4 linked regions of the Pelodiscus sinensis genome follow. The protein of the gene in region 1 binds, or shares a complex with, the protein of each later gene. Links are inferred from orthologs where the notes say so. Each region holds a gene or a part of one and is shown in the gene's direction. Other genes may lie near its edges.

Region 1 (7,432 bases):
ACTGCTGTTTCCACTGTAACAAAAAGTGAAGGGCTGGGTGTAGGGTGTCCAGCCAAGGGGGAAGGTGCAAGAGCAGAGGGTGTCTGGCCAAAAGGGGAGGATGCAGGAGTGGGCTGGGGATGTGACATCTTGGTGGAGGTGTGTGAGAGGGGGTGGGAGTGCAGGGTCTGGCCATGAGGGAAAAGCGGAGGCACTTACTTGCTTTCATGTCCCATGTCTGTCCCAGGCACAGTGTCTCAGGCATGGCCTTTCGCTGCTCCCACTGGCTGGATTCCGGACAATGGGAGTAGTGGGGAAAGCATCAAGGCAGCGTGTCTGTGAATTGCTGTTCTCAGGTGGGGGAGGGGGAACAGCAGCACACAGAGCTGCTTCTGGCACCGCTTCTTCCCTGTGAGGTGGACCCTTCCTTCTGAGTGGTTTGGGGCTTTCTTCCTCCCTCTCTGGCAGGAAGCCAGCGCGGGCTCCCTGCTGTGGGGAAAGAGAGGGAGGGAGGAAGGAGGGGCTGAGCTTGAGATGCAGATCACCTGCAAGGTGGCCACGGACCACTAGTGGTCAGTGGGCCACAGTTAGAACCACGGTTCTACAGGATAAAGTGTTTAGAGACATCATCATCTAAAATATTTGTAAAATCCTTATCTATGTGATAGAAGTGAATCTGTTTATTAAGTGAAACAATCTTTAGAATTTGATCCTTTATATACTTTCTACTACAGTAGAACCTCATAGTTATGAACACCAGAGTTACAAACTGACCAGCCAACACACACCTAATTTAGAACTGGAAGTAAACAATCAGGCAGCAGCATGGACAAAAAATAAACAAAGCAAATATAGTACACTAAACCACTCTGGTCATCTGAAGAAGTGGGCTGAGCTCACGAAAACTCATGATACCATCTACATGTTTTGTTAGTCTATAAAGTGCTAAAAAAACCTATTTGTTGTTTTTTAAGTTTATCCTGTACAGACTAACTTGGCTACCTCTCTGAAGCTTTTAAATATTTCAGAGTTACTAACACCTCACAAATGGAGATTGTTCGTAACTCTGAGATTTTACTGTACTTTCACTTTTCTCAGTGTAGACAATAATGATAAATTAGGGTGTGTCTAGACTACAGAGTTTTGTCGACAAAAGTGGACTTTTGTCGACAAAACTATACCTGCGTCTACACTACTGCTGAGTTCTGTCGACATAACGTCGACAGAACTCAGCAGTTTTGTCGACACTGGTAAACCTCATTTTATGAGGCATAACACCTTCTGTCGACAGAGTTCTGTTGACAGAAGGTGTTATTGCATGTAGGGTTGTGTCTAGACTACAGGGTTTTGTCGACAAAGCAGCTTGCTTTGTCGACAGAACTGAATGTGTCTAGACGCTCTTTGTCGACAGAAGTTTTGTCCACAGATACTGTCGACAAAACTTCTGTCGACAAAACCCTGTAGTCTAGACATACCCTCTGGTTTGTTTTTAATGTCTAGTCATTTCCTCTTCAGGTTTTTATAGACTACTAGCTTTTTACCCGGCATTGTTCAGGTACTTCAGGGCAGGGTGCTGGAGGTGTGTGGGTGGTGTAGGAGTCAGGACTGGGGGTGAGGAGTGGCTCAGGGCAGGGAATGGGGAGTGCAGGAGTCAGGACAAGGGATTGGGAGGTGTGTGTGTGGGGGGGGGAGAGGTTCAGGGCAAGGAGCGATGGGGTCAGGACAGAAAAGTGGCAGATACAGGAGTCAAGGCAGGGGTTTTAGGAGGTATTGGGGGCGCAGGGCATGGTGTGGGGATGTAGGAGTCAGGGCAGGGGATTGGAAGGTATGGGGGTTGAAAGCTGAGGGTGGAGGGTGCAGGAGTCAGGGCAGGGAGTGGGTGACTCAGGGTAGTGGATACCGGCAGTCAGTGGCTGCTCCCTGGGGCTGGTCTGGAGTGGCAAAGACCATGCTGGCACTGGCCTGTAGTGGTGAGAGTTGCACTGGCTGGCTGATGGCTGCTCCCTGGGGCCAGCCCAAGGCTGCTGTGCTGCTCTGCTGGCATCTGCTCCCCAGGACTGGGGCACTTTTTGCTCCCTGTGGTCATTGTGACGTATAACTGACCCTGTTATCAGAGCCCTCTCTTTCCATTTGATGAGAAACAATCGGATTCCAGGCACTTCCCATTATTCCTAGCATAACCAAACACTGACCTTTCTTTAAATTAGAATAAGAGAAGGTTGCATATCAAATTTGGTAGTCCTAGCTTTTACCGTTCAGGAGGAGTTCTTGAACAAACATGAATGCATGGACAGGCACTCCCACACAAGCTCTCTTAAATATATAGTAGATTTTGCTTAGGTTGTAAGGGGGGAGGAAATGTGGTAGAAAAGTTGCTTATTTTTAGACTAGGTTGAACACCTATTATTGGTGTTTGATTTGAATAAAAGGCAAAAGATAATATCAGTTTGACTTTCATAATTAACCTCCCTTCCCCAAAACAAAAAACCTTATAATTGAGGAAGCTTATCTTCCTCTTTTCCTTACTCCTAATCATTTTTCTGGGGAGTAAGGGAGAAAGTTATTCCTTAGGCTTGTCTATACTCACTGTGCTGCAATTGCATCTGTGCTGCTGTAGTGGTTAGTGAAGCTATCTACACTGATAACAGAGCATTGCCCCTTGTTGTAGGTACTCTAATTCCCAAAGAGCCATGTTAATGGGAGAAGCCCTCCCATAAACTATTTTTGCCTATAGCAGGGGCCAAGTTAGTACTAATGTGTCACTCATCTAGGTGGGCATAGTTATACCAATATACATTTGTGATGTAGACCAAGTCTCAGATTATACATCATATCAGACTGTATTGTAATGTTAGGCAAATACTAAGGGGCAGTGCCCCCTGCTTGCTATGCTTGCCAACTCCCCTCTCTGAGGGTTGGCAGCTCTAGCTTTCCCCCACCCCTGGCTGCCATGGGGCTGGGCCAGGCCTAAGCTGCACCTAGCCTGGCTTTCTCCCTTCGGCCACAGGGAACCCGGATCAGGCTGAGGCTGCAACTGGTCTGAGTCTCTTCCTCTGGCTGTCGGGGGGCTGGGCTGAGGCTGGCCCAGTTCTCTCACTCCAGCCGCCCGAGGGTTAGGCCGGGCCAAGGCTGGCCTGGCTCTCTCTCTCTGGCTGCCACTGGCAGTGGTTGGCGTGGCTTTCTCCCTCCAGTTGCTGAGGGACTGGGCTAGGTTGAGGCCATAGCTGGCTAACTGGCATCCTCCCGTGAGGGGAGAGGGCATGTGGCTCCCAGTCCCATCCCACCAGGGGGGAAAGATACACAGGTGGCAGCTCTGGGTCTCCACGGTGACAGGGGAAGTCCACGTGGCTCTGGCCCCCTCCTGCTACAAGGGGGAAGGCTGCTTCGCTTTCCCCCCACGAGGGGGGAAGGCTGTGTGGCTCTGGCTCCAGTCCCCTGTGTGAGGGGGAAAGGCCACATGTGCCCAGGGCTCTTCCCCCTGGCCACAGAACACTAGGGAGATAAAGGGAAAGAGGAAGGAAAGGGCTGCAGGATGCAGAGTGACATGATGACATGACTCTGTCATCCCTCAGGAAAATCTTTTTTATAGAGAGATACATGGGAGGAAGGCAAATACTTGTTTTTATAGAAATTTTTTTTTTTTAAGTCTGCCTAGGACTGTATTGCATTAATAGTGAACATTTGGCCTCTCCAAAGCTCCATTTCTCTCTCCATTTGTTTTGGTACAAAAGCTGCTCTCACTATATTTTTTGCTATTCCATACTGACAGCTCTTTAATTACAAATTAAGTCAAAGTACATTGGATGAGTCATGAAAAGGAGACTATGTAGAAAGGAAACAAGAACATCCAGGAAGTCCCTTCGATAGCTCAGCTGGTAGAGCGGAGGACTGTAGAGGAGCTGCGGGAATCCTTAGGTCGCTGGTTCGATTCCGGCTCGAAGGAGACATGATTTTGTAATTATACTCTATGCCGAATGTGAGAAATCTCTGTATCGGTAACATTTGCACTAGGCGAGATGTGTTTCCCTCCCCCTGCAGACTGTGGGCTGTTCGCCTGCATTTTGTCCTTAGTCAGTAATAGGTGAGTCCGGATTCCAAGTGATCTGCTCACTCAGGACGCCTCGCACAGGCACATTGAAGGGGGAGAATAAGGCCTTGGGCTGGGAAGCAAGAGCGGCAGCAGCACGTAGCAGAGCCCGTGGGGCTTCTTACAAGCTGCCACTGTTGAACACCGTCAGGCTTGGCGGGAAGAAAAACTCGCTCTCCCAGGATGCAGCGCGCTATGTCCTGCCCCCTTCATCCCTACTGCTCCGGGTCCGCCCCCGTCTGGCTCTATGCCCCGCCCCCTTCATCCCTACTGGTCGCACCCTTTCTCCCTCTGGCGCGGTGCCCCGCCTCGATCGCGTGCGGCTGCCTCAGCCAATGGGGTTGCAGTCCGCGTGCGCAGATTCAAACGGTGGCTCTGGAAGGAGGCTGGGCGCGAGATTCGGCGGCACGGACAAAACCTGTGACGGCAGCGCAGCGGCAGAGGAGGCCGGGCCAACGGGGGACGCAGCTGGGAACAGGGGCCTCGGAACTGGGCAAGAAGCGTCCGCAGCCCCCGATCCTGTCTCCGCAGCCGGGCCGGGCCATGATCTGTGTGCGGGGCGCCGGGCCAGGCCGGGGCTAAGTGAGGTGGACGCGCTGGAGTGTCCGGGAGCGGTAGAGGCAGCCGCCCCCTTTTCTGCTGTGTGACGGGGCGGGCCCCACGGCCGCCACAGACTCCCCGGGGCAGTGTGAGGAGCCCGGGCAGGGAGCCGCGCAGCGCCGTCCCCAGTCCGTCTCCGCCTCCTTCTATGCTGCGCCTCGAGGATGGCGAAGAGACCGCGCAGGTGAGTAACGCCCCCGGCCGGCCGGCCCGCCTGTCCTGGCTCGGGTATCTCCGCGCCTTCGTCCCGGATCCCTGCTCCGATCGCAGCGCTGTTCCCTTCGCCTGCAGGGTCTCTGTCCCCTTTCCCTCTTTGGGACCCTCCCCCGGCTTCGCTCTCAGCTGTGCTACACCCCCACATCCCGCTTCGTCTTTCTCTCCACGCCAGAGGCTCAGGCTCTCCTCCTGTCCGGCCGCCCTTCCTCGTGCTCCACTGTCATTGTCCAGTCCCTCCCCAACGCTGCATGCCCAGAGCTAGATCCCGGCCCCATCATCCCCCCTAAGTCCTGTCACCCACCTGTCGCAACACCGGTGTTCCCCGACTTCTCCATCTTCCCTGTGTGTTGCATCTCACCGGAGTTGCTGCACCCATGTCTTTTCCATGTCGCTCCGTACTACAGACATAAGAGTAACCTCGTCTTCTCTTTCCCCTGGGCTACTAGTTTCTTCCTACACAGTAGTTCTTGCCAGTTTTCCCTTTCTTCTAACTTTCTGGTCCTTTACCTCTCTGACCAACCACGTGGTTTTAATACTTTGACTTCACTAATTCTTATTTTTTTAAAGACTGTGTTTTTAGTCCTGGTACATCCATTGATGGGGGGGGGGGGGGGAAGGTATATGTGATTCTTTCCTGTAGCTGGGAAATCTGTGAGTGAAAGTGCTTATTCAGCTGCAAACATTGAGCTGTTGCAGATTTATCTTCTATTTTGCAGGAGCTTGTGTGTCTCATTTATACTAAAAATCTGGATTTTTAGGAAACTACACTTAGTAATTTAGTTACTACTGTCTTCTGTCTTTCTAGTTGTGGATTTTTGTAGAAAGGGGTTTATGAGATTGATAAAGGAAGAGCAGGGTAAATGGTCAATATTAGTTATGAAAGCTATTAGGTTTTGACCATCTCTATTATTTGGAGACTGCTGTGTATGCATATTGTTCATGGGAGTGAAGAAATTGTAGTTTTGTGGTTGGTACATCAGAATTTCTTCTGTATTTTTCTTCCAGAGGAGATCAGGTTTATTACAAATATACTATAAATTCATAGTTCTTGTGGGAAAACCACAGGAAGGAAAGTAATATGTTTTCCTTGTAATTGTTCAGTTGTTTCAAGGGGAACAAGAAAATCTCATTTGGAGAACTGGGTTTTGCCCAAGAAAGCTCACAATTATATATGTATGTAAATAGGGATGTGAATGACTAGTCTATTATCCGATAAGCAAAAGCTTATTGGATAGTTGATACACTAGTCCAGTGTTTCTCAACTAGAGGTATGAGTACCCTTAGGGGTACTTGAGACAAGTTTGGGGAGTATGTCAACACAACTGAAATTTGGAGAAAACTGAATTTTTGTTTTAAGTTTTACAGCACTTTATTATTTTTGTGCTTTTTACAGCCAAAAATTTCATCGCCTGCCCGGCTACAACTAAGCTGTTTAAACAAATGTGTCGCAATGGGGAAAAAAATGTGTAAGTCTGAAAACTATAGGTATTGGGGATACTTATAATTATTTTTTTTAAAGATACTTAAAAAAAAAAAAAAGGTTGAGAAACACTGGACTAGTTGACTGGTCACTTCCCCTCCCTTGCTGCCTCTCAGAAAGAGGCAGTGTGGGGGAGGAGTACTTCGAAGTGGCAGTGCCGTTAAAACGCCGCATGCTGCTGGGGAGTCCCCTGCTGGCCCGGCTGCATACAGTGTTTCAAGGTAGCAGCACTGCATGGAGCCTGGGGTCTGCCGCTTTGAAATACCATGTACAGCTTGAGTTCCCACCTGGTCCTGCTCTGCATACAGCGTTTAAGAGCAGCAGTGCTGCATGGACCCTGGGGACAGCTGGACACTCTGAGTCCCCAGCTGACCCCGGCCTCCATGTGATGCTGCCACTTTGAAATGCTGCAGGTGGCCTGAGGCCAGCAGGGGACTGCTTTAGTCCCCTGTGCTCCTTGCAGCTCTTTCGCCTTTGAAGTGTAGCCCTGGGCCAATTAATCTAAATTTAACATTTCTAGTGTGTAACAAAAGTTAACAAATATGTGTGTGTATAATGTGTGTGTGTGTGTGTGTGTATTTATTTTATTTATGTATTGTATATGTTTGTTAGGCCTGTGGCACCTTAGTGACTACTCGTTGTTTGGAAACTAGAGAGGATCAGCTACCTTAATGTAGGTAACATGAGACATTCCAGCTACATATTGCACCCAGAATGCCATCTGGAGCATCTCTCTTTAACCAATACAAGTTGGTCCATTAAAAGTTATGACCTCATATTACCTTGTCTTTCTGGAGTCAGGAGCTAAGGAAGACTTACTAGTCTTTCTGGAAGTGCCAATATTGCTGTCAATGAATATTGAGCTGTGAAGAATTCACATTTCTTGCTAGATTATTAAAATAGGTGTGCATAGACGATGAGCTCATTTGGTACATTCTGGTTACAGCAGAACAAAAAGAAAGTGTTGGTATATACAGGCAGTCCCTGGGTTACGTACAAGATAGGGACTATAGGTTTGTTCTTAAGTTGAATTTGTATGTAAGTAGGAACTGGCTCCAGATTCAGCTGCT
Region 2 (6,884 bases), on another chromosome or scaffold:
GCATCCACACCCCTGAATATCTTCACTCCTGTGATGGGATATGCATATAACACCACAGTATCAACCCAACTAATAACCCATGTGGGTATCACTTGGATGCCACAATGGAATTCCCCCTGCCCCCCAGTTTGCTTTTTTAAGAGCTAGGCAATTACACACAAAAAAACTACATTAAAAGAAAATTTAAGTTGCAAAGCTAAGCAATCAAAAATTGGGAATTAAAGTTAAGAATAACTCTGCAACTTTAATCCAGCCCCTTGTGTATCAGCATTATGCTACAGTCTTCAATTACATATTCACATTTTTCCCCCTCATCTCACAAACTCCTTGCTTCATTCACTGGACAAAATGGACCTATTCTGTTGAATCCAGGCGAGGTATGAAAGGGGACTTCTGTCCATAGGGCCCCTGCCTTATTTGTGGCAGAAGTTGGACGACTTGTACTGAGTGGGGTAGGGGAATGCAGGAAGAGAAGGACTGACTCATGCTTAAAACAAATGAATGCTGTCTCTGCCACAGAGTTCCTAAGTGATACTAGGTAAGTCACTTAAAGCAAACTTTTCACACGCATTTGTGCAAGGCTCTATACAACACTTGTATCCGCATCTCCATCTACAAAAAAAACCACATCTGCGCATGTGGATGTCTGCAGTTGTGTAGGGTTCTAAATAACTCATTAATGTTTTGTATCTTCACATAACCCCGGTGAGGTAGTAGTTTTATTATCCCCATTTTACAGATAGGGAAACTGAGGCAAGGAGACTTGGGTCAAAAACATTTACTAATTTTGGTTGCCTAATTTGAGATGCCTAAAAGCTGATTTTTTTTCAAGACTACTTAGCTCTATATAACTATAAGCCTATATGTAGATAGAGCTCTGCTTTATATCTGCAAGTATCTACATTTATAAATGTGAATGCATATGTCTGCAACTTATTTTTGGAGATGTAGATAAAAATTTTGAGTAAAGAAATAATTCTATTTTCAACACAAGGTCTGAATATTGTGCAGTAAATAGGCCACAATGAATAATGACAAGAAAACAAAATATTGAATAGAACAGCATTGCACAAGCTGGAGCCACCCAATCCATGTGTAGGAAGAGTGCAGCACAGACCCCTGGCCCCACCAGTCCCCTGGGCTGAAACAAAGGGGCAAGGAGAGACAGGGCCTGGAGCAGAAGGGAGTTGTCCTGGTCCTTCCTTGGGCGGAAGCAGGGAGCACGTGGTCAGTGTCTTCCTCCTTCCCCTGTCACCCATCGTTACTGCTTTGCTTTGAATTTACCTTAGTTCAGGGGTTCCAAAACCTCATTGCATTGTAACCTTCTTCCAACAATAAAATATTACTGCATGGCCCCAGGAGAGGAGGCCAAAGCCTGAGCCCACCTGAGACCTGCTGCCCTGGCTGTCAGGAAAGTGGGGAAAACCTCAAGCCCCAACACCCTGGGTGGGTAGGCTAAAGCCCAAGGCCTCAGCAGACCTGTAACCTGAACCCCACCACTCAGGGCCAAAGTCAAAGTCATCAAAATCAGTCTTTGGTCCTGGTCCACAGCAAATCCAATGCCAGCCTTTGCAGACCCAATTAAAACTTGATCATAGCCCATTCTGTGGTTCTGAATGACAGTTTGCGAACTGCTGCCATAATGGCAAAGTTAGGCAGTCGTTGCCTGTAACGTTTTTATTTTATTTTTCTTGTATTAAATTCTGACTCGTATGCTTCACGCTTAAAAGCATACAAAAATCATTCCCTTTGATCCAGTGTATTTGAAGTGTTTGGGAAACTCCACTTGGGACAGCAAGTGTACTTATTTCTATTATTATCCAAGCTCGTATTGTCCAGGAAAGGGCTGTGCAGTACAAGACAGAGATTTCTAGAGCATGGCACCACAGAGACAGTGCTGGAGGGAACTGGCTTTTAAGGTGGCTCCCACCAGCACCGGCTCCTGCCCACCCCTCCTTGCTGCCACCAATACAGAGGCAGTGACATGGAAGGGAGAGTGAGTAGTCAAATACCTGACTTCACTACTCACTTACATCCTTATTTAGAAAGGCTTTAGGACTCTCCTCCCTCCCTTCACTGAACCCCAGATTCACCTGGAGCCACCCAGAACAGAGCTCCGGTAAATATTTTCAAACCTATAGAAGCCCTGAGAACACCCTCTCCTCTCCCTGAGACGTGCTTCATTTGGCAGCTGTGTCCTAAATGGTGGTCAGCTCTGTGAAATAGTCTCTGAGAATTTAAGCCCTGGAAGTGACTTTTTAAAAAGATGTGAAGGAAGTGTTTCATTGCATGAGGAAAGGAGTCCAACAATCCACCTGCCCCAGTAGCAGTTATAGACTTCCCAGAACTTTAGCCAGCCCTATCTAGAGGCCTAACATGAAATTGTTTCATGCCCTGCTCTTACTAACTGGGCTAAGTTATCTAAAGCTAATTCAGCAAATACATTTTCTTCCAAATACCAACCCCCTCCTTTGGCAATGCAACTGCAAAGTCTGATTTAGTTTAACACCAGATTAGACAGGTACTGGGCATGCTAAGTTATGCAAGTGATAGTACGGGGGTGCAGCTCCTGCCATACAAGTGTGCATAGCTGGCTAATAAGATAGTCACCATCTGCATCTCCTCCTCCTCCTCCCCTGCATCCAGGGCCCTTTGAACTTCCCATGTCTCCCCTTTGGTAAAGCTTGTCAACAGGAACAAGAATGAACTCACCACTGAGTAAGAGGAGGAAAAGGATGAATACCAGGTGGGACTGACTTTTCCTAGGATCTACATGAAAGAAAGGCAGACACACAGAGATCAATGCTGTTAGACACACAGGAGGCAAATCCTGCAGAGGTTAAACCCGTGCAGACGCTATGGTTGTGGAGAGAGCCTGGGATCTGATCCCCAACGTCCATGAGTCAACTATAGCCTGAGGGAGCAAAGGGGCAGCCACAAATACCACTGGTTGCACGGTAAGATGCTGTGGGAAGGGGGTCTCAATCATACCCCATATCAGGCTAGGGGACTGAACACGTGCTAACGGAATCAATGGCAAGGACCCAAAGCACGAACTGGGTTCAGGTGAGCCTTGCCAGATCGTATTTGAAAGCGCTGGAAAATTCCTCCTAGTTTATCGGTTTTAACCTAAACCGTTTCAAGGGTGCAGCCTTCCAAGCACCGTCCGACAGCTCGCCTCGGGGCAGCCGTCAGTGGCACGGAACAGTGAGGCCAGACGCGTGCAGATCCCAGCTGAGACCCCGCCCAGCTCTCCCCAGTCATGCCCGGGAACCTCGCTGCCAACCCCTGCTGTCACCCCCGGAGAAAACCTATCCCAGCACCTCGGCCCGCCTGCCCGCTGGAGCGGCGGCCTCGGGTCTTGCTGGCAGCCAGGCGGAGCCCAGAGGAACCGCGAGAAACACTCGTCCGGCGGCCACAAGGCCGATAGCCCGGGGGACTGTCCGGCACAGGGGAGGCGTGAGCCCAGCCGCTGGAGCTACAGCAGGGCTCCCGCACCTCGCCCCGGGCCGGGGGCTGCTCGACACCCCCGCCGTACAGCGGGCGCCCGGCCTCACCCTGCACAGGAGCCGCTGCCCAGCCTGGGCCCCGCGACCTGCCAGCGCCACCATCCCGCCTGCAGAGAGTCCCCCGGCCCCCGCAGGACAGACCCTCACGGGCCCTCAGGTCCCGCCCCCGCACTGCCATTGGCCGCTTAGACAACGCCCTAGTCTCCGCTCTACCCAGGAGGGGCTGTGGCGCTCGACTCGGCCAATAGAGAGCCGCAATCGCCTAACCCCGCCCCTAGGGGAACCGCCCACCATTCCAGGGCGGTGATTGGCTACGGGAATTGAAGGCGGCCATGGATGGAAAGTCAGGGTTGGACACGCCTCCTAGGGGAGGAACGCAAGCGCCGCGTGTGTGGGCGGTGCTAGAGGGAGTCACGTGTACGAATTCCCGCGGGCGGCGGTTGCCCGTCACGTGACTTGGGCAAGATGGCGGCTCCCACGGAAGGTAAGAAGTGGAAGCACCAGGACTTGGACCGGATCTGCCTTGCGCGCGGAGCTGAGCTGCGGCGGCTTCTGGGTATCGGCCCAGCCCGCCCGGTTCCTGGGTCGCGTCTTGAGCGTGATGTGTCGTTACCCTGCGCCAGCCCCCTCCCCGCCGGCGACTCGGAGCCGGGGGGAAGGGTCTGGAGACCGGCCCGACCAGGCGGCCCCGCCCGGCGCTGGAGAACGGGCACCGGGCAGCCCTGTCGTCGGGGCACGTCCCCGGACTGGAGCTGCTTGTCGCCTGTGTGAGGCGCCGCGGTTGAGCCTTGCGAGGGCACCCTCTAGCCACAGCCCGTGGCCATGGCGTCTGGGGTGTCGCTGAGCCTGCGTGTGACATGTCCGGCTTCGGGGCGGGAGCGGTGTTTGTCTGTCTGACTGACTCACTGACTGACTCCTTCCAGGGACAGATCTGGAAGCCTCCTTGCTGAGCTTTGAGAAGCTGGACCGAGCATCCCCAGACCTGTGGCCGGAGCAGCGTAAGTCAACCCTGATTCTCCTCCAGGGCTTGATGAGGTGGATTGGTCCTTCATGTGAAAGGAAACGAGAGTATCCAGTGCCCTGGTGAGAAGGGGAAAGACCCCTGGGTCACTGGAGTGCACTGCGACCTCCAGGCCCCCGCAACCTGGGATGGGTGTGTGTACCATGGAGTTATGGTTTGATGGTGTGGGGAGTGGCAGTTGGCAACTGTAAGTTTCATCTGATTGCCCATGTAAATGTTACTGGAGATGGTATCCAGTTTGAGCCCTAGTAGATTAGGATGTTCTCCATAACATTCTGATGCGGGTGCTTCTCAGGTTTTGTTCCCTTCACCTATGCATTTAAACTACGGTGATCTGCACTCCTTGGCTAGGTGGTGAAAATATAAGAAGTGAGGCTTGATAGGAACTCTTCCAGTACCTCTGTGTAAACTACTGACTAATAAACTAAGCTGATCTGCAATGGACACTTCCATGGCAAATAAGCAGGGAAAATCTTCCAAAGAGCATTCTGAATTTTTGTTACTCCTGCAGTATTCAAGAAACTGCAGTAGATGAGTTAGTGACTAATATTTAATGTAGTGAGGCAACATTTCCTATAGTACATGTGACTGGAGATTTTATCTAACTCTACTGCAGCTAGGAAGCTTAATTCCCAGTTTGATTGGCATTTGTACAATAATTCTGATCAATGTAGCATATGAAAAAATATCAGCATGGCTATCAAACTATCTGCTTAGGGCAGGAGTGGCCAACCAGTTAGGGACAAAGAGCCAAAATATCTGTGGATATTTATTTTTATATATCTAGATAGATAGATAGCTATAGTACACAAAATATAGTGATTAAAAATAACATTACAGGACACTTCAGACAAAAATCAATAAAAAAGTCACTAGTCACTTTAAAAAATTAATCTCCAGTCCATAGATCTTCTGAGAACTTGACAAGGAGCAAACATCAAATTAAAAAAATTTTTTTTTTAAAAACACAGCAATATTCTCACACTAAAAGAAAAGCATCCCTACCATGTATTTTAAATTTAACATTACTGCCCTAGTATGTCCTGTGATTTTTTTTTTAATTAAACTGAACTGAGAAATAAATTAGCACAATTTGAAGTGTCTGTTTCACTCCAACTTCTGACCTCTGGTATGGTTTCCTCAGTTTTTTTACTTCTAAAAATTCAGGTCTGTCCCAGACTGCAAATATGAGAGGTTCAAAAACAATAAGGCAGAGACACATATCTCAGAATAATTGGTTCAACCTGGCGAACAATAGCCTTTGAATTTTCTTTTAAGGAACACAGTGTAAACTAAGTGTATGCTGATTCTTTTTTGCCCTGGAATTTAAATATGACATCTGTGTTGGCTGCCTTTATTCTGCATCCATGAAGATAAGCCAGGCACCGTCAGCCCTCCCTGCTTTAACCCAATGCTTTCTCCCAGAGCCAGGCACCCCCAGCTCTCCCCTGCTCTAACCCAATCCCCTTCCCTCCCCCAGAGCCAGGCACCCCCCACTCTAACCCAATGCCTGGGTCCCAGAGCCGCTGTCGCCACACGCTTCTCCCTCCAGACACTGGGACGCATGCACAGAGCAGCTGGCTGCGAGCAGTCCAGGCGCACAGCTCAGAACTAGCAAGAGCCGCATTTCTTTAAGCAAAGAGCTGCATGCGGCTCAAGAGCTGTGGGTTAGGGCGTCTGACAGGATTGCATTCAGGCAAATTGCCCATGATCTGTGTATCTATGCCAGGGTTTCCCAATCTTTTTACTTTAGTTCGAACCCTTTTTTTTAGTACTGTTTTTTGCAGCCCAAAAATATAAACCCATAAAAAACAAACTGAGAAAATACCAGACATATAACATGTCTCGTCTTTTCTCATTAGGTAAGTTTTATTATTATTAGATGTATCAGTTTGTAGTTTCGAACTGCCTAGCTGGTAAATGTGCTCAGGCTGCATGAGTGTGTCTACCAGCCAGACAGTTCGCAACTACTCGAGGGTGTGTGTTGTGGGGGGGCACAATAGAATCCCCGGGCCAGACTCACTCGTGCTTTGTGGGGGTGGGGAGAAGGGGAGCAGCGCCCCGAGACCTGCATATGGCCAAGTCAGTCCCGCTCCCTGCCGGCCGATTCACTCTCTCCCCCCGCCTCTGGCCAGCCCCACTTCCCCCAACCCCCTCCTGGACAGCCAGTTCTCTTCCCAATCTCCCTTGGCCAGCCCCGCTGCCTGCGTCCAGCCCTGCTTCCGGCGGCCGCTTCTCCCTCCCACCCCCATCTTCCCCGGCCAGCTCCCTACCCCCAACCTCATGCCTCCTGGCAGCCCTGCTTCCACTGGCCCCCCAATCTCCCCGGCTCATCCCACCCCGATTCCCCCATC
Region 3 (7,890 bases), on another chromosome or scaffold:
ATGGCACTTTTGTACTCAGCATTGCAAGGTTGATGGAAATTCTATTGACTACTCAATTAGCTGGTAATCAAAATTTAACATCGCTATATAGGACTCAACCCAAGGTTTAAAGAATCTGAAGCACCTTCTAAAATCTGACAGGTATGAGGTAAGGAGCATTCTTTCAGAAGTCTTAAAAGAGTAACACTGATATGGAAACTACAGAACCTGAACCACCAAAAAAGAAAATCCATCCTTTTGCTGGTGGTGAAAATGATGATGAAAATGAACATATGTCGGTCTGCTCTGGTTTGGAATGTTATCGAGCAGAACTCATCATCAACATGAACACATGTCCTCTGGAATGGTGGTTGAAGCATGAAGGGACAGAAGAAACTTTGCAGTGTAATTCAACAGTGCATGTGAACAATTGTTCTCATTTTTCAGGTAACACTGTCTGAGCAACTGGCTGAACAGCAGGACTGAATGGACTTGTAAAACACTAAAGCCTACATTGTTTTATTTCTGAATGCAGTTTTTTATATCTAATTCTACTTTTGTAAATTCAACTTTTATGATAAAGAGAATGCTCTATACTACTTATATTAGGTGAATTGAAAAATATTATTTCTTTTAATTTTAGGGTGCAATATTTGTAATAAAATATAAAGAGAGTACTGTTCACTTTGTATTCTATATTATAATTGAAATAAATATATTTGTAGATGTAGAAAATATCTAAAATATTTAAATAAATGATAGACTATTATTGTTTAGCAACAAAATTATTGGCAATTAATTTGTTTAATTGCTTGGTTACTCTAATTTTAACATACTGATGATTGGTGCTCCAAGCAGATGCAGATGCAAGATTGAATATGGACAGCACATCAAAAATTCACATAGCCTGAACTATATTTATCTGCATGTGTAATCCAACATGCATCAAGTCTTCAGTCAACAATGCATAAACACAACAAATACATACTTACTTGCTTCTACAAAAGCTTTCAAGGCTTCTAGTTGTTCCACTCCTGACAGTTGAATTGCTTTTTCCAGTATCTGACGATATCTGCCCATAGATTTAAAATTAAAAAATGTATCACAATTAATATCCTTTTATTTAAATATCCCCCGTGGCATTTGCATTTACATGGCTGCAGCTTTTTTCCGGCTCTGGGTTTTTGCCGGAGAAAAGCGCCAGTGTAGACGCTTGAAAGTAGGAATAAGGGATCTTCCGGAAAAGGGCTTATTTTCCGGAGAATCGCGTCTACAGTGGCGCTTTTCTCCGGCAAAAACCCCGAGCCGGAAAAAAGCGGCAGCCATGTAAATGCAAATGCCGCGGGGGATATTTAAATCCCCCGGGGATATTTAAATCCCCCGTGGATTTGCAATTCCCAAGTGTCTCATTAGCATCCCTTTTCTGGAAAGGGGTGCCAATGTAGACACAGCCTATATGTTTGGTGGTGTTTTTTAGGGCTTTTCCCAAGAGACCCTGCTGCATAATACCAACGGCGCAGAAAATACGTGATTTTTTAAAAGGAATTTAAAGCTCGGACGCCTCTCTCCGTACAATTGCTCTGGCTCTAGAAAAAGACACAATGGGCATCAGATGGGTTCTTTTGTCTTTCAAGCCCAAGGCTCTGGGAACACCGACTGTTCTGAAACGGACAGTTCAGCACCAGCCTGCAGCATCTACAGCCCCTTGGTTAAATTAAATGGAGAGGGGGGGGGGGTCTGGTTAATCCCCCCGCCCCGAGGCAGCGGGGGAGGGGGGGGGCGGGGTAGGTAGGTGCAGTCGACAGCATTGACCAATAATAAGCGCAGGTTTTTCCGTTAATCCGTTTTATCCGTTAATCGTCTGCCATTCACGAAGTGACAAGACAGACCCGGGCGCCTCCGCCCTGCCAGGCACAGGGGCCGCGGCTCGCGGAGGAAGCAGGACCCTGCAACCCCCGACTAGTCCTCAAGCACCCGCCAACCGCCTTCACCTCAGCCGGGAGCGCCCCCTCCCCCCAGCCCGGCCCGCACTCACTTCCCCGCCAGGTCCTTGTGGGAGCCGCTGGAATTCATGAGCTGGGCCAGCTCCTGCCTCACCGCGGCCGCCATCTTGTCTCGCGCAAACTGACAGACGCGGTCCTCCCCCTGCCAACGAGAGGGAAGCCGCCGCCGCCGCGTCCCCGCTGTATCATAGAGGAGCGTCGGCTAGAAAGGCTCCTGCCCCTGAGAAAAGGGTCACGTGACGCCTTCCCAGCCCGGAGTCCTTCCCTCCTCGCGAGCGCTGCTGGCCAGTTGCTGCCTCCCTGGGATGCGGAAGGGCTGATCCGCCAGCGGGTTGACGTACTGACCCGGCCCCACACGAAAGCAGACTCTGTACCTGGGAGGGGACCCTCAGTCCCTTCCTCCCTCTAAGGCCAGGAGAGGCGCTCTGAGCTATTTCTCCGGAAGGTGTCATTCCCAGTATTGCCCGCCTGGCTGGTGCAGATGGCAGGTCTGGAAATGCAGGATCTCATGCCCCAGTGAGAGGGATGGATGATAAGTTCTTTCCTTCCCATGCGGTCTCTCGGGTCAGAGAAGGAAGCAGGGCCAGAGCCTGATGAGTGGAATATTTTGTAGCTCTGTTTCTTTCCGAACTGTGTTGCTTGTCGGCTGTGTTTCAGTGGTGTACACAGCATGGCTGTCGTACATACGTTATCAGAAGATTTCAGACATTACAGTATTTATTTTCCTTTTCTAATCTGTGTATAGCGTTTTATCTAAAAGTAGATGAATAATTATACTGTTCCTATTTTACCAGTGTATAACTGAGGTCCGGATATGTAAACTAAAATTTTCAAATATAGCACCTACATACAAGAGTGCTGCTTTTCATAAGTGGAGAGGTGGACTCAGCTCATATTTCAAAAGGAGTGTTCTATTTACTTAAATGTCAGGCAGCTATCTTCAGGATTGTGCTTCAGCTGGAACCATGGAAAGAGACTGAGATCAATTTTTTTTTTTATTTTTTTGTACACTGACATTTGAGTTGCAAACACTGCAGATAAATGTTTTAATGGAGAGAAAACCAATAATTAAGAGGTGAGGAAAATTCCCTTGGTTTGTTCATACCCTACAAATAAGTGGAGGATACCTATGGTACAGAAGCTAAACAGAATGAATACATTTCCCTTGCAAGAGGGTGTATGCTCAAGGTAAAAGCAATGCCATATGTTGCACTTCCATATCACCTTTCATGAAAGGTTTGCCCAGTGCTTAGGAAGCTGTCACTTGTTAGCCCATTTTATAGATGTAACAAGACTGGAACCACTCACTGCCTGTTTTTCAGTGTCTTGACTTAAGGGCTACGTCTAGACTGGCATGATTTTCCAGAAATGCTTTTAACGGAAAAGTTTTCCGTTAAAAGCATTTTCGGAACAGAGCGTCTAGATTGCCACGGACACTTTTCTGCAAAAGCACTTTTTGCGGAAAAGCATCCGTGCCAATCCAGACGCGCTTTTCCGCAAAAAAGCCCCGATCGCCATTTTCGCGATCGGGGCTTTTTTGCCGAAAACAAATCTGAGCCGTCTACACCAGCCCTTTTGCACAAAAGATTTGCGCAAAAGGACTTTTGCCCGAAAGGGAGCAGCATAGTATTTCGACAAAAACACTGACAATCTTACATGAGATCAGTGGTTTTGCGGAAATTCAAGTGGCCAGTGTAGACAGCTGGCAAGTTTTTCCAGAAAAGCGGCTGATTTTCCGGAAAAACTGGCCAGTCTAGACACAGCCAAGCAGCTTCAGAGGGATAGCTGAGTTAGTCTGTAACAGGAAAAAATTTAAAAACAATAAATAGTCTAGTAGCATCTTAAAGACTAACAAAACATGTAGATGGTATCATGAGCTTCCTGTGACAAAACCCACTTCTTCAGATATATTCCAGTCATATGAAGAAGTGGGTTTTGCCCATGAAAGCTCATATCACCCTCTATTGGTGCGTCTAGACTGGCAAGATTTTGCATAAAAGCATCCACTTTTGCACAAAAACTTGCCAGCTGTCTACACGCTGCTTGAATTTGCGCAAGAGCACTGACTTTGTAATGTACAAAATCAGTGCTTCTCGCGCAAATACTTTCATGCTCCTGCTCAGGAAAAAGCCCTGCGCAAGAATACTTGCTCAAGAGGGCCAGTGCAGACAGGGAATAATTGTTTTACGCAAAAAAGCCCCAGTAGCTAAAATGGCGATCGGGGCTTTCTTGTGCAAAATCACGTCTAGACTGGCCACAGATGCTTTTGCGCAATAACACTTTTTGCGCAAAAGCATCCGTGCCAATCTAGATGCGCTTTTGCTGAAATACTTTTAACAGAAAAACTTTTCCTTTAAAAGTATTTCTGCAAAATCATGCCAGTCTAGATGCAACCTACATGTTTTGTTAGTCTTTAAGGTGCTTCTAGTTTTAAGTTTTGACTTAAACAGTTTCTATCTATGGGGCAGTATAGCAGAGTGCACGCATCCAGTGCCCAGAAGGGTGCTACAAGTAGAGGAGGCTGGAATGCTTACCCAATGCATCACTATCGCCAGGCCTCTCTCAGCTGTTCCCCAACCATTTCAGATCAGTGGGAGACGCAGGCTGCACACGCAGCACCATACACACGCACACCCGGGCTCCTCCTTAAGGCTCCACCTACCCCTGCTTCTCCTCTCACCTTGCGCACTTGCCAGCCCTTGCGTGCCTGTGCAGCGGCACGTGACATGGTCACGAGCCAACGGGATGCGATGACGCACCCGGAAACGGCTGGAAGGAAGCGCCGGCCCCAAAGGGCGGGAGAGGGAGGAGCTGCGCTCGCTTGGTGACGCTATGTCGGTTGCCAAGGCGGCGCTGCGCATTATTATGGGATGTGGCGGTGGAATGGCGCTGGGCGCGTGATTTTGAACAAACACGGAACCTGTCCCTGGTGCTGCCGCTGCTGAGAGCGGCGCGCGAGCCCAGGGGGAGGAGGAGGGGGCAGCCGCGGCGCGAGCCCGGGGGAGGGGGGAGCGCGAGCCCGGTGAGTGTGAGCGCGGGGGGCCCAGCGGGGTGGGGGGAAGGGAGGGAGCAGGAAGGGGTGTCAGGGGGGAGCCCAGCGCGTCGCCGTGCAGCCCCCCCCCATCCCTGGGGGCCACCCGCTCCCTGGCTGCGGGGACAGGCCGGGGAGGGGGACCCCGGCTGCAGCGCCAGGAGTCGGTCCCCGCTGCCGCCGCCTGGGCGCAGCTCCCGGGGCGGGCGGCGCAGGCCCGGCCAGCCCACGGCGCAGCCCTGCGCGGCCGCTCCTGGCGCTGCGCCCCTCGGGCACCGGGGATCCGGCCGGTGCAGCCCCGGCCTGAGCTGTCTGCGCGGCTGCCTTGGCAATGCAGGCGCCGGGGCCGTGCCCCGCCAGCGGGTGGGCCTTTGTGGCTTGTGCCCCGGTGTGTGGGTGTATTGACTGTTTGTCCCTTTGTCACTGCCAGTCCATAGTAGCCAGGGAAACAGCCGACCCTGCGCGTGAAAAATAAAATCATTGGTTATGTGTGACTGTTCTGACGAATGGGTTGGCATTTTAAAGTCATTTGTGTAATATATTGAATAGTAAGGAGGAGCTTTCTTTATGTGGCTTTAACCCTAGAAAATGTTAAGGAATTCAAGATCTCAAGAGCTGAGACTCACTGCGACATGCTCTTTTTCAGCAAAGATCAAAAGGAGAGAAAAGCAGGGCTTACAGTTTGGGCCCTCATTCTAGCAATCTCTTGGGGGAAAAAAATCAAAATAAACGTGCCTAGTATTTTCGCTTCCCCTGCCTGCCTCATTATATAAATAAGGATGTTTAGATATAGGGCAGTATATAGAGTGTGATGAATCATTACAAAAGTTCATCTTGATGTGCATCTCTGCAGTACAAAATGGCATGCCACATGTCGAAATTGTCAGCTTTATTATGGTAGTGTTTTGCAAAATTGAGAATAGTAGAACTAATATCAATGCTATATTGGAAGATGAATCTAGTGTTTTTTTGTTTTTTTTAAAGATACAGCTACAATTAGGTCAAATTTATAACTGAAAATCACATAGGTAAATGCAGTGGGCTCATGTGTGACTTGTATACCTGATGAATCCTCCCACATATCTAAAGAAGAGAGGAGGTTCTCTGACTCTGTTGAAGTTCTGAGGATATTTCTTTTCCTTTGTAAGCTGCCTCTTTGTTTGGTGTTTGGGGGGAGAAGGGTGTCCCATTTTTGAGGTATGACAGCTTCTAAGTCAGGGATGGGGAACCTCAGATCCACAGCTTGCCCGAATCCAACCCCAAGGCTCAGACCCCCCCTTGCATGAGGGATCTTGTGCTGGCGCTCTAGCTCCAGCTCCCTGCCCCATGGTGGGGCAGCACACAAAATATATTAGGCTGGGCCCCCCAGGCGTGGAGAATGTGTGGAGTGTCTTTCTCTTAGTCTGAGGGTTTTTTGTGTGTGGCCCTCAACTGATTTTTTCTGTGGGTCAGTGGCCCTCAACCCAAAAAAGGTTCCCTACCCCTGTCCTAAGTATTGAGAGCATTTTTGTTTTGTGTGAGTTGTAACTTTTTTTAAGGAGTTCAGGGCCAAATGTTTGACTTTTGGCCGTCTCCCCTCCATGTCCCCAAAAAGAAAATACAGGCCAACTGAAATCAGATGCAACAGTACCAGTGTCACCTCATTTGCACTGTCTCATTGGGATGTAAAAGTTTTAACTGGTTAAACTTAGCCTTACCAGCATGCTTACCTGGTAACCAGTTAAACCATGGTGGGTCCAGCTGGCTGGAGCAGCCCTGTGGTACAGTAGGCCAGCAGGCAAGAAGCCAGGCTAGAGATGCCAGCAGCTCTGCACAATTCCCCCACCCCCTCCATGACTGACAATTTAACCAATTAAAATTACATAATGTAGCACTGGTTAACTTTTTAATTGGGTATTTACATCCCTAATGTCTAAGTGATCACCATTTGTTGGTTGGGAAGGAATTTTCCTCTGAGTCAGATTTCCAGTGACCTTACGGTTTTTTACTTTGTGCTTGCAATATGAGGTGCAGGCCATTTCTCCCAATTATCAGAGTATATCTCATTTAATCAGTTCCCTGCCATTGCAGTTGCCTTAAACATTGGTGCCACACCTCAAGTCCCTATTATTCTGAGACCTTTTACAAAGTTAAGTCAAAATACAGCAACCTTGATATTTACTGTGGTGAATCATGTCTATGGTTCTGTTGGTGGTCAGCTGAAACCCCCATCCCTAGGACTGAGCGCCACCAGGCAATGTAAATAATGCAGTGTCTACACAGGACTGTTGCCCTGAATGCATCAATGCAAGCTCTATGCCTCCTGGAGTAATGGGTGACATGCATCGTCAGGAGCAACGTTGGAGTGTAGACACTTACAAAGTGAGATCTATGTAAGCTGCTTTATGCTGACTAACTCTGTAGTTCAGACCAACCTTCTAGTTTCCTATAGGCTGTAATATTTTGGTCTAATTTAGTTTGCTTGGTTTTGTGTGTGGGTGTCCTGTGATATACAGGAGGTCAGACAAAGTGATCTGGTAGTTCCCTCTGGGCTTAAACTCTAACTTTGAAGGATCTTGTATGTTGATGACTAATTGTTTGAAGAATCTTTATGTGAGATCCTAGAATTCTTGGCTGGAGAGTAATTTATTTTTTTGTTTTTATTTTCATACTTTTGTGCTTTAACTAACAAATATTTTAATACAGCAAATATTTATGTTTTTCTTAAGATTGCTGTTTTCTGATACATTTTACAAAATGGCCATGTGACTGTTTTAGAAGTGTTGAATGGAAAAAACGTAGTGCAGTAGCCTAGTGTCAGAATGGTCAGTGTCTTGTTACTTCGATACAATCATCTAGAATTTCACTTTTGGGTTGGTATCTTATTTTAATCTAAGT
Region 4 (6,961 bases), on another chromosome or scaffold:
TCTCTGCCTCAACAAACACCTCATGGGGGTTGCCATTGTGCCATGTCACAATAGAATCCTGACTGGAGACCTCTCCCCTTACCACAGAGTCTCTGTCCAGCTCTACTGACCCCACACTGGGGCCCATCCATGAGCCATGGAAGCACTGTGCATAAACAGGGCAGTAAGTCTTCCTCCAAATCCAAGAAACCATGTGTTCCAGCCATGGACGAAGAGCATATTCCAAGGCTCAAAAGAGCAACAAGAGGTTACACCATTCATGTAACCAAGTTACCCTTCTGATTCAGCTTCACCAGCATCCTATAAATCATTGGTTTGGAGCTTTAACACTTTTCTGGTTCCAGTCCTGGCAATAGACTGGGTATCACCGACTCCTGGAAGACTTGGAAGTGTTCCCAGACCTCTCAAACTGTTTACCTTGGAATAAGTGAGCTTGTGTGACCACCTGCTCAGAGGTCCCCATCTCCTGCATTAGATCTACCATCTACTGGTAGTGCACTCTGTTCCCACAGCTCTGTCAGCATCACTGTGTAGCGCCCAGTTCTGCTGAGTCTGAGAATTCAGATACGATGTAATCCGCTACTTCCAGTTTGGAGACATTACTACAGAGCTTTCCAGTTTCTTTAGTACTTGTACTACAGCAGCAAGAGCAACCAAGTTGGCCATATTAGAGCTTATAGCTTCACTAATTGCCTTTGAAATGGTCTTAGAACGGGAAGACTGTTTTATCACTTCATTCTTCATCCAGTCTACCCTTGGCACCTGGATCAGACAATGCATGCACCAGTGTGGTGCCAAGGGGCCTCAGGAACTTCCCGTTAGGGTACCTAGATGTGGCTGTTTCTTTAACATTGCCCGTCCCACCAGATGACTATCATCAGTTTCAAGAGCAAGTGAGAAGGATAGCTAAAGCTCTTCAGAACCCCCCAAGAAAAGGTGGGACCAGGTCCTAGACTTACACACATCAATACCAGCATGCAGAGTCAATGCAGAGGTGTATAGTAGTCCCGCGAGCAGTGGTTCTTAAAGTGCAGTCCGTGGACTGTTAGGGGTCTGCTGCCATCTCCCGGGTAGTCTGCGGCTTGAGCACAGCCTCCCCATCCCCACCCAGCAGGGTGCCCACATTGTGGCTCAAATCTTGTGGTTACTGTGCAGCTGCAGGCTGAAGCATGAACTCCGGCTTCCCACTGGGACAATGCAAGGGCATGAAGGAGGTGCAGGCATTGCATGGCGTAGGGGTCAGAGTAGCCTGGCAAGTGGAGTGGGCGACATGACCTTGTGCTGAGCTCTGTGTCCCTGGGGCTGCCCCTGCCCAGCCTAGGCTGCACCAAGCTGCTCCCCATGAGGTGTGTGCGGGGGTGGGGAACCCCTCCTCCAGTGCCCTGCTCTGCCTGGCTGGGCTGGAGCCAGCCCCAGGCTCTGCCCACCCCACCCCACCCCTGGAGTGGCAGCCTACAGGTGAGAGGCAAGCTCTGGACAAAGGGCTGGGCCAGGCAGGGAAGTGACTCCGTTCCCCCCTCCCCCAGCCCTCCTTGCCCCACTGCTGCTCCTGGGGGGCTGCAAGTCCCAGTGCTGCTACCCTGCTGTTGTGTGTGCTGGGGGCACAGGGATGTGGGGCCAGGATGGGGTGAAGGAGGATGTAGGGGAAGGTTCAGAGGAGGCAGGGGTTGCACGGGGGGGGGGGGGTGATGCAGGGGATCAGGCTGGGTGGGGATCAAGGAGCTGAGGGGGGTGAGGCTAGAGCAGAGGGAAGACGTGGGGGGGATATAATTTCCCTTTACAGAAACTGCACTTTCCTTTGCTCTCCACTTTGCCTCCCTCTTCCCCTTCCATCACAGCATGATCTTTGCACCTTATTCTGTGTGAATGAGAATTTCAGCCTATTTGCAGGCATTGCTGGAAAACTGGCAGGTCTGTACATTGTTCAATAATATTTTATAGCACCCCTTGGCATTAGATCTGGGACATTTGCTCCCCTTCAGGTCTCCAGCAGACTATCTTCTTTTAATGCCAGTGCATATTTCTGCTGGCAGCTCAGACCTTCATTCGTTATTTCCACCAGGGCTCTGAGCTGTGTCTGTCTGGGGCTCATTGCTTTTCCAGCCCGTTTTAACCCCTCAGTTACTGGCAACACTTCATTGGGATTGCCAGAAAACAAGTCAAACTGAGGGGCCATGTCTAGACTGGCAAGCTGCTTTTGTGGAAAAACTTGCCAGCTGTCTACACTGGCCGCTTGAATTTCCGCAAGAACACTGACTATCTCATGTAAGATTGTCAGTGTTCTTGTGGAAATACTATGCTGCGCCCGTTCGGGCAAAAGCCCTCTTGTGCAAATGCTTTTGCGCAAGAGGGCCAGTGTAGACAACGCGGTATTGTTTTGTGCAAAAAAGTCCTGATCGCGAAAATGGCGATTGGGGCTTTCTTGCGCAAAACCGCATCTAGATTGGCACGGACTCTTTTCCGTAAAAAGTGCATTTGCGGAAAAGCATTTGCGGAAAATAATGCCAGTCTAGACGTAGCCAGGGAGATCTCTCCCCTCCATGATATTGAATACTCGTTGGCTTAGGATTTTTAAGATAAATAGCCACTTCAGCATCTACATATAAAAGTGAATCAATGTTCTTCTTTTACTTAGTTTCAGAGTCTTATAATTGCCATAAGAACCACAAATCTCCATCATAACCCAGAAAGACACCAGTGTTCATTTCCCTTCCGTATATGGGAGCACACTTAAGCAGCCACAAAGGTTTTGTTGAGCAGCTAGTTGGCTGCATTCTCACCCTCACCTTTTCTGCATAACTTCCCCACCGATCTCCAAACTCTCTCTCTCGAGCCCCCACATTCTCCTGCTGCCGAACTCCCTTCCGCACCCTGTCCTCCTCACCTCCTCATGCCTAGATCCTGCATCCCTATCCCACTCACTGGCAGCCCTCATTTTTGTCACCACCCCAGCGCCTAAGAGGGTCCACAAAATCCACTAATTCTGGAACCCCAGAAAAGTAAACCTGGTCTATGGGAAATCCTAAACCTTAGTCCTCATTGTCCCCTTCACTCTTTGGGGTTGGAGTCCAGAAGAATGAGGTGTCTCATTTGGGGGGTCACATCAGTGAGGGTTGGGGTTTTGGAGTTTTTTTGCTTCTCCTGTGTGGTCCCTTAACTGATTTTTCTATGGGTCAGTGGCCCCTAACCCAAAAAAGGTTCCCCACCGCTACCATAAATAAAATATGGGAACCTCTTGTGTTGGACATAAATTAATGTTACTTTATGTAAAATGAAGCTTGATAAACTAACATGAGAAAGTTAAAATGCTTAATCTGTTTAATAATTTAAACAACTGTTCTCCCTAGTTGCAGCACTACGAAAATGGCTTGGGTGTAATTATGTAATTAACAGTGAGTTTCCATTAGCAACTGGTGATCTATGAAAAGGTTTGCAGTAAGCCAGGTGGTCCATCGCCAAAAAGTTTAAGACCCACTGCCTTAGGGGCTCCTTTATGGCTACTCTCACTTTCTGACAATTAAATGTTTCTTTTTGACCTTGCCAGATCCTTTCCAGTATTCTATGAAATCGATGCAGTTGCGCCTGAAGTGCTGCATCGCGGAGCAGGACACTTGAGGGTATTATTGAGCAAACCACCAACAATTGCGTGTTTTGCATCAGTGGGCAGCCTCACGGCAACGGCTCCCTCAGCCAAGGGGAGGCGGCCAGGCTGGGGGGGGGGGGAGGAGTTGGGAGAGGAGGTAGAATTCCTTGTTTACAAAGCTAGAGCACAAGTAGGATGGTCAGCACAGTGGCTCCTTTGCGGGAACAGTATGAAAACCGGCTCCTGCTCCCAGGTAGCCTCCCTCTACAGCAAACGGCGCGCGGGGGTGAGGCACAGACCCCAGCAAATTGCGAAGCGAGGGAGAAGGACGGTGCATGCAAATACCGCGGGCTGAGAGGAGCCCTGCAGTTGCGGTGGCGCGCTCAGGCTGAGACCGCTGCTCGCTGCCGGGAAGCAGGAGCCCCCCGGGGCTGCCGTAGCTGTCTCCGCTGCTCCTCGAGCCCCTCCCAGCCCTTTTGTGTCCCCGCGCGCCGCCTCCGCCGCTGCTGCATCCCGGCCAGCAGCACGAGCGCTCCTCGCAGCGTTCGAGCAGCCCGGGCGGCGGCAGCAGCGCGAGCCGGGTTCGCCAGCGCCGCCTCGCGCACGGCCCAGACCCCTCCCCACAATGCACCGCGCCAGGCAGCCTTTGAAAAAGCGGCGCGGCTCGTTCAAGATGGCGGAGCTGGATCAGCTGCCCGACGAGAGTGAGTAGCGCCCCGCGCCCCCGGCCGGCGCCCCCTGCCCGCGGCGCCCCGCAGCGTCGGGGACCAGCTCGTCCCCCGCCGGGCTGCCTTCCCCGCGTCCGGCCTGGCCGCGGCGGGCGCTGCGCGGGGCCGGACCCGAGTCTCCTCCTCTTCCTCTGGAGCCGCCCCCCCCCACGTCCCGCCACCCCCTACCCCGCGCAGGCGGAGGGGCCGCCCCGGAGCCGGGCCCGGAGACCCGCGGGTTCCCCACGGCGGGTGGCGCCGGGAGGGGACTTGCACCCCGAGTTCGGCGCAGCCTGACAGGCCGGGGCCACGGCCGCACCCGGGCCAGGGACGGGCCCGCACTCGGGCCAGGGCGCTGCCTGTCAACAGAGATAGGGAGGCGCCGTACAGCTGCGAGCACCGATCCTGCCCCGGCGCATGGGGGTGCGCTGCACTGCGGGTGGGCCCTCAAACATTGCAGCGCAGGGGAAAGCGGGCACAGGGAGTGCCCTGCATAGGACGTGCCATTAATACAGGGGGGAGAGGTACAGGTTAGTGCTGTGCCCTGTCCATGAGGAGGAACTAATGCTCTGGGGGAGAGGGTTACACAGGGTAGTGCCCTGCGCCCCGAGCAGGCTTACGGGTGGGACATAACATGCATACTGTGCTGGGGGGTGGAGAACACTAAAATGCTCCAGGGAATTTCGGGGGTGGACACACAAACATACTCTAAATGCTGTCTGACAGAGGCACCAGAGAAATGGAGGTCATTGAGACATGCAAATTGCATCCAGGGGCATCCAAGAATGAGGATACACATGCTACTCGGGAACAGACACTGGATCTAGGGGATAGATGCAAACTAAACACAATAAAGGTGCTATGAAGACCCACAGTCTATATACAAAGACACAAGCATGCACTGTATGCAGACACATAAATGAACGTACAAGAAGGTTGATACCCAGCAAGTCTGACTGAGTAGATCATGTGTATGGGAGGTAATGTCACTTAGATAATATATTTTATTGTACTAACTTGTGTTGGAAAGAAGAGCTCTGTTACTGTGCAGAAGACTGCCATGTTAGCTCAAAATCTTGTGTTTCAAATCAATGAAAATGAACGGTATTACCTTCCTCTTCCCATCCTGTCTCTCTATATCCTGGGCCCAATGTGGTTACAGCACTGCTGCAGATACATACTGTGGCCAAACAAAACTACAGATACAGAAAAATAGATTCATTCATTCATTGCATTACTCTTTCGTAGGAGTAATGCAAGCTATATAGACATGCATACCATACATAAATGTACAAATTAACACTAACGCAGCAAGGCACAGAAAAAAATGATAGGGCTAATTTAAAATACACAATAGTTTATTCCAGCTAAAACATATTAAGTCTCTACAAAGTTTATCCATTAAAAAGGAGCATATGATAGAGCACATGAAGTATAAAATTTAAACTGAGGGCTATGTGAGAATTTGAAATGCAAATCAAATATATAAACAAGAAATTCTTTATATCAGAAGCAGAAAGCAGTTGGGCTGTGTCTACATTGGCATGATTTTGCTGCACAAAAACATGCTGCCTGTCTACACTGACGAGGAGTTCTTATGCAAGAACACTGATGTTCTAATGTAAGAAATCAGTGCTTCTTGTGCAAGAACTATGACGCTCCCACTCAGGAATAAGCCCTCTTGCACAAGTGTTCTTGCGCAAGAGGCCAGTGTAGACAGGCAACATGAATTTCTTGCACAAGGAAGCCCAATTGCTAAAATGGCCATCGGAGTTTTCTTGCGCAAGAGAGCGTCTACACTGGCATGGATGCTTTTGCACAAAAGCACATCTCTTGCGCAAAAGCACATGCCAATGTAGACGCTCTCTTGCGCAAATACTTTAACGGAAAAACTTTCATTAAAAGTATTTGTGCAAAATCTTGCCAATGTAGACGTAGTCTGGGAGAATAGCAATGGCAAAGAAGCATTGGGCAACAAGCTAGCTGATTGTCACAAGTACAAGGAATGTACATTCAAAATAACCATTTGAACTAATGGATTCTAAATGAACTGTAACAATAACAAGGAAAAACCTAAATGGTTTCATTTAGAACAGCCTGATAAACTGCTTGATGCTCAACTAAATAAGCAAAAACTTAGATTGGATTACAAAGGTAGAGCAATGATTTTCAGTCTTTCCCTTACTGGGGTCTTTTGTTACAACAGAAAAAGTATGGGACCCTCCTCCCTTTAAGCCAGAAGAAAAGATGGATGTTCGTGACCTTCAGATTGAGAACCCATGGGATAGAAAACAATATAAAAATATTAGGCAACTGTAAAAATATATAATCTCACCTTTAATATGCTGTTCAAAGTCTAGTTCCCCTATCTGAAAAGATACATCTTATGAAGGTTACTATAGGCAGTCAGGAATGGAACACACACCTCCAACTTGGCAAACTTAAGTCATTATCTGCTACACCACATACCTTCCTGATTGACTTTTCCAACTTTGCTTATCCTATTTCTAACTAATATAAATCACACTCCTCTGCCATTTGGTAATTACTCCAGTATCTGAAATATTAAAGTTCTGAGCTGAGGATCACAAGGTCAAGGCATTTGAATGCTGCTGCTCACCTTTGTAAGGATGGCATTAGGGATGTAAGCAACTAATCGACTATCTGATAT

The links.
Region 2: MYBL1 (region 1) and LIN52 share a complex: the UniProt entries of both Homo sapiens proteins name them as parts of the DREAM complex. The link is inferred for Pelodiscus sinensis from reciprocal best matches to the Homo sapiens genes MYBL1 and LIN52.
Region 3: MYBL1 (region 1) and LIN54 share a complex: the UniProt entries of both Homo sapiens proteins name them as parts of the DREAM complex. The link is inferred for Pelodiscus sinensis from reciprocal best matches to the Homo sapiens genes MYBL1 and LIN54.
Region 4: MYBL1 (region 1) and LIN9 share a complex: the UniProt entries of both Homo sapiens proteins name them as parts of the DREAM complex. The link is inferred for Pelodiscus sinensis from reciprocal best matches to the Homo sapiens genes MYBL1 and LIN9.

The regions. Positions count from the first base shown.
Region 1 is NC_134712.1:58,192,405-58,199,836, forward strand, and holds the start of MYBL1 (myb-related protein A), read left to right. Parts: upstream 1-4,421; 5' UTR 4,422-4,830; coding exon 4,831-4,850; intron 4,851-7,432. UniProt on the Homo sapiens protein: Transcription factor that specifically recognizes the sequence 5'-YAAC[GT]G-3'.
Region 2 is NC_134714.1:44,998,779-45,005,662, reverse strand, and holds the start of LIN52 (protein lin-52 homolog), read left to right. Parts: upstream 1-3,863; 5' UTR 3,864-3,974; coding exon 3,975-3,993; intron 3,994-4,432; coding exon 4,433-4,507; intron 4,508-6,884. Other genes in the region: ALDH6A1 (methylmalonate-semialdehyde/malonate-semialdehyde dehydrogenase [acylating], mitochondrial), read right to left, coding at 2,713-2,769, 3,558-3,611.
Region 3 is NC_134715.1:11,686,377-11,694,266, reverse strand, and holds the start of LIN54 (protein lin-54 homolog), read left to right. Parts: upstream 1-4,871; 5' UTR 4,872-5,004; intron 5,005-7,890. Other genes in the region: COPS4 (COP9 signalosome complex subunit 4), read right to left, coding at 972-1,051, 2,015-2,088. UniProt on the Homo sapiens protein: Component of the DREAM complex, a multiprotein complex that can both act as a transcription activator or repressor depending on the context. In G0 phase, the complex binds to more than 800 promoters and is required for repression of E2F target genes.
Region 4 is NC_134713.1:157,381,677-157,388,637, reverse strand, and holds the start of LIN9 (protein lin-9 homolog), read left to right. Parts: upstream 1-3,954; 5' UTR 3,955-4,208; coding exon 4,209-4,287; intron 4,288-6,961. UniProt on the Homo sapiens protein: Acts as a tumor suppressor. Inhibits DNA synthesis. Its ability to inhibit oncogenic transformation is mediated through its association with RB1. Plays a role in the expression of genes required for the G1/S transition.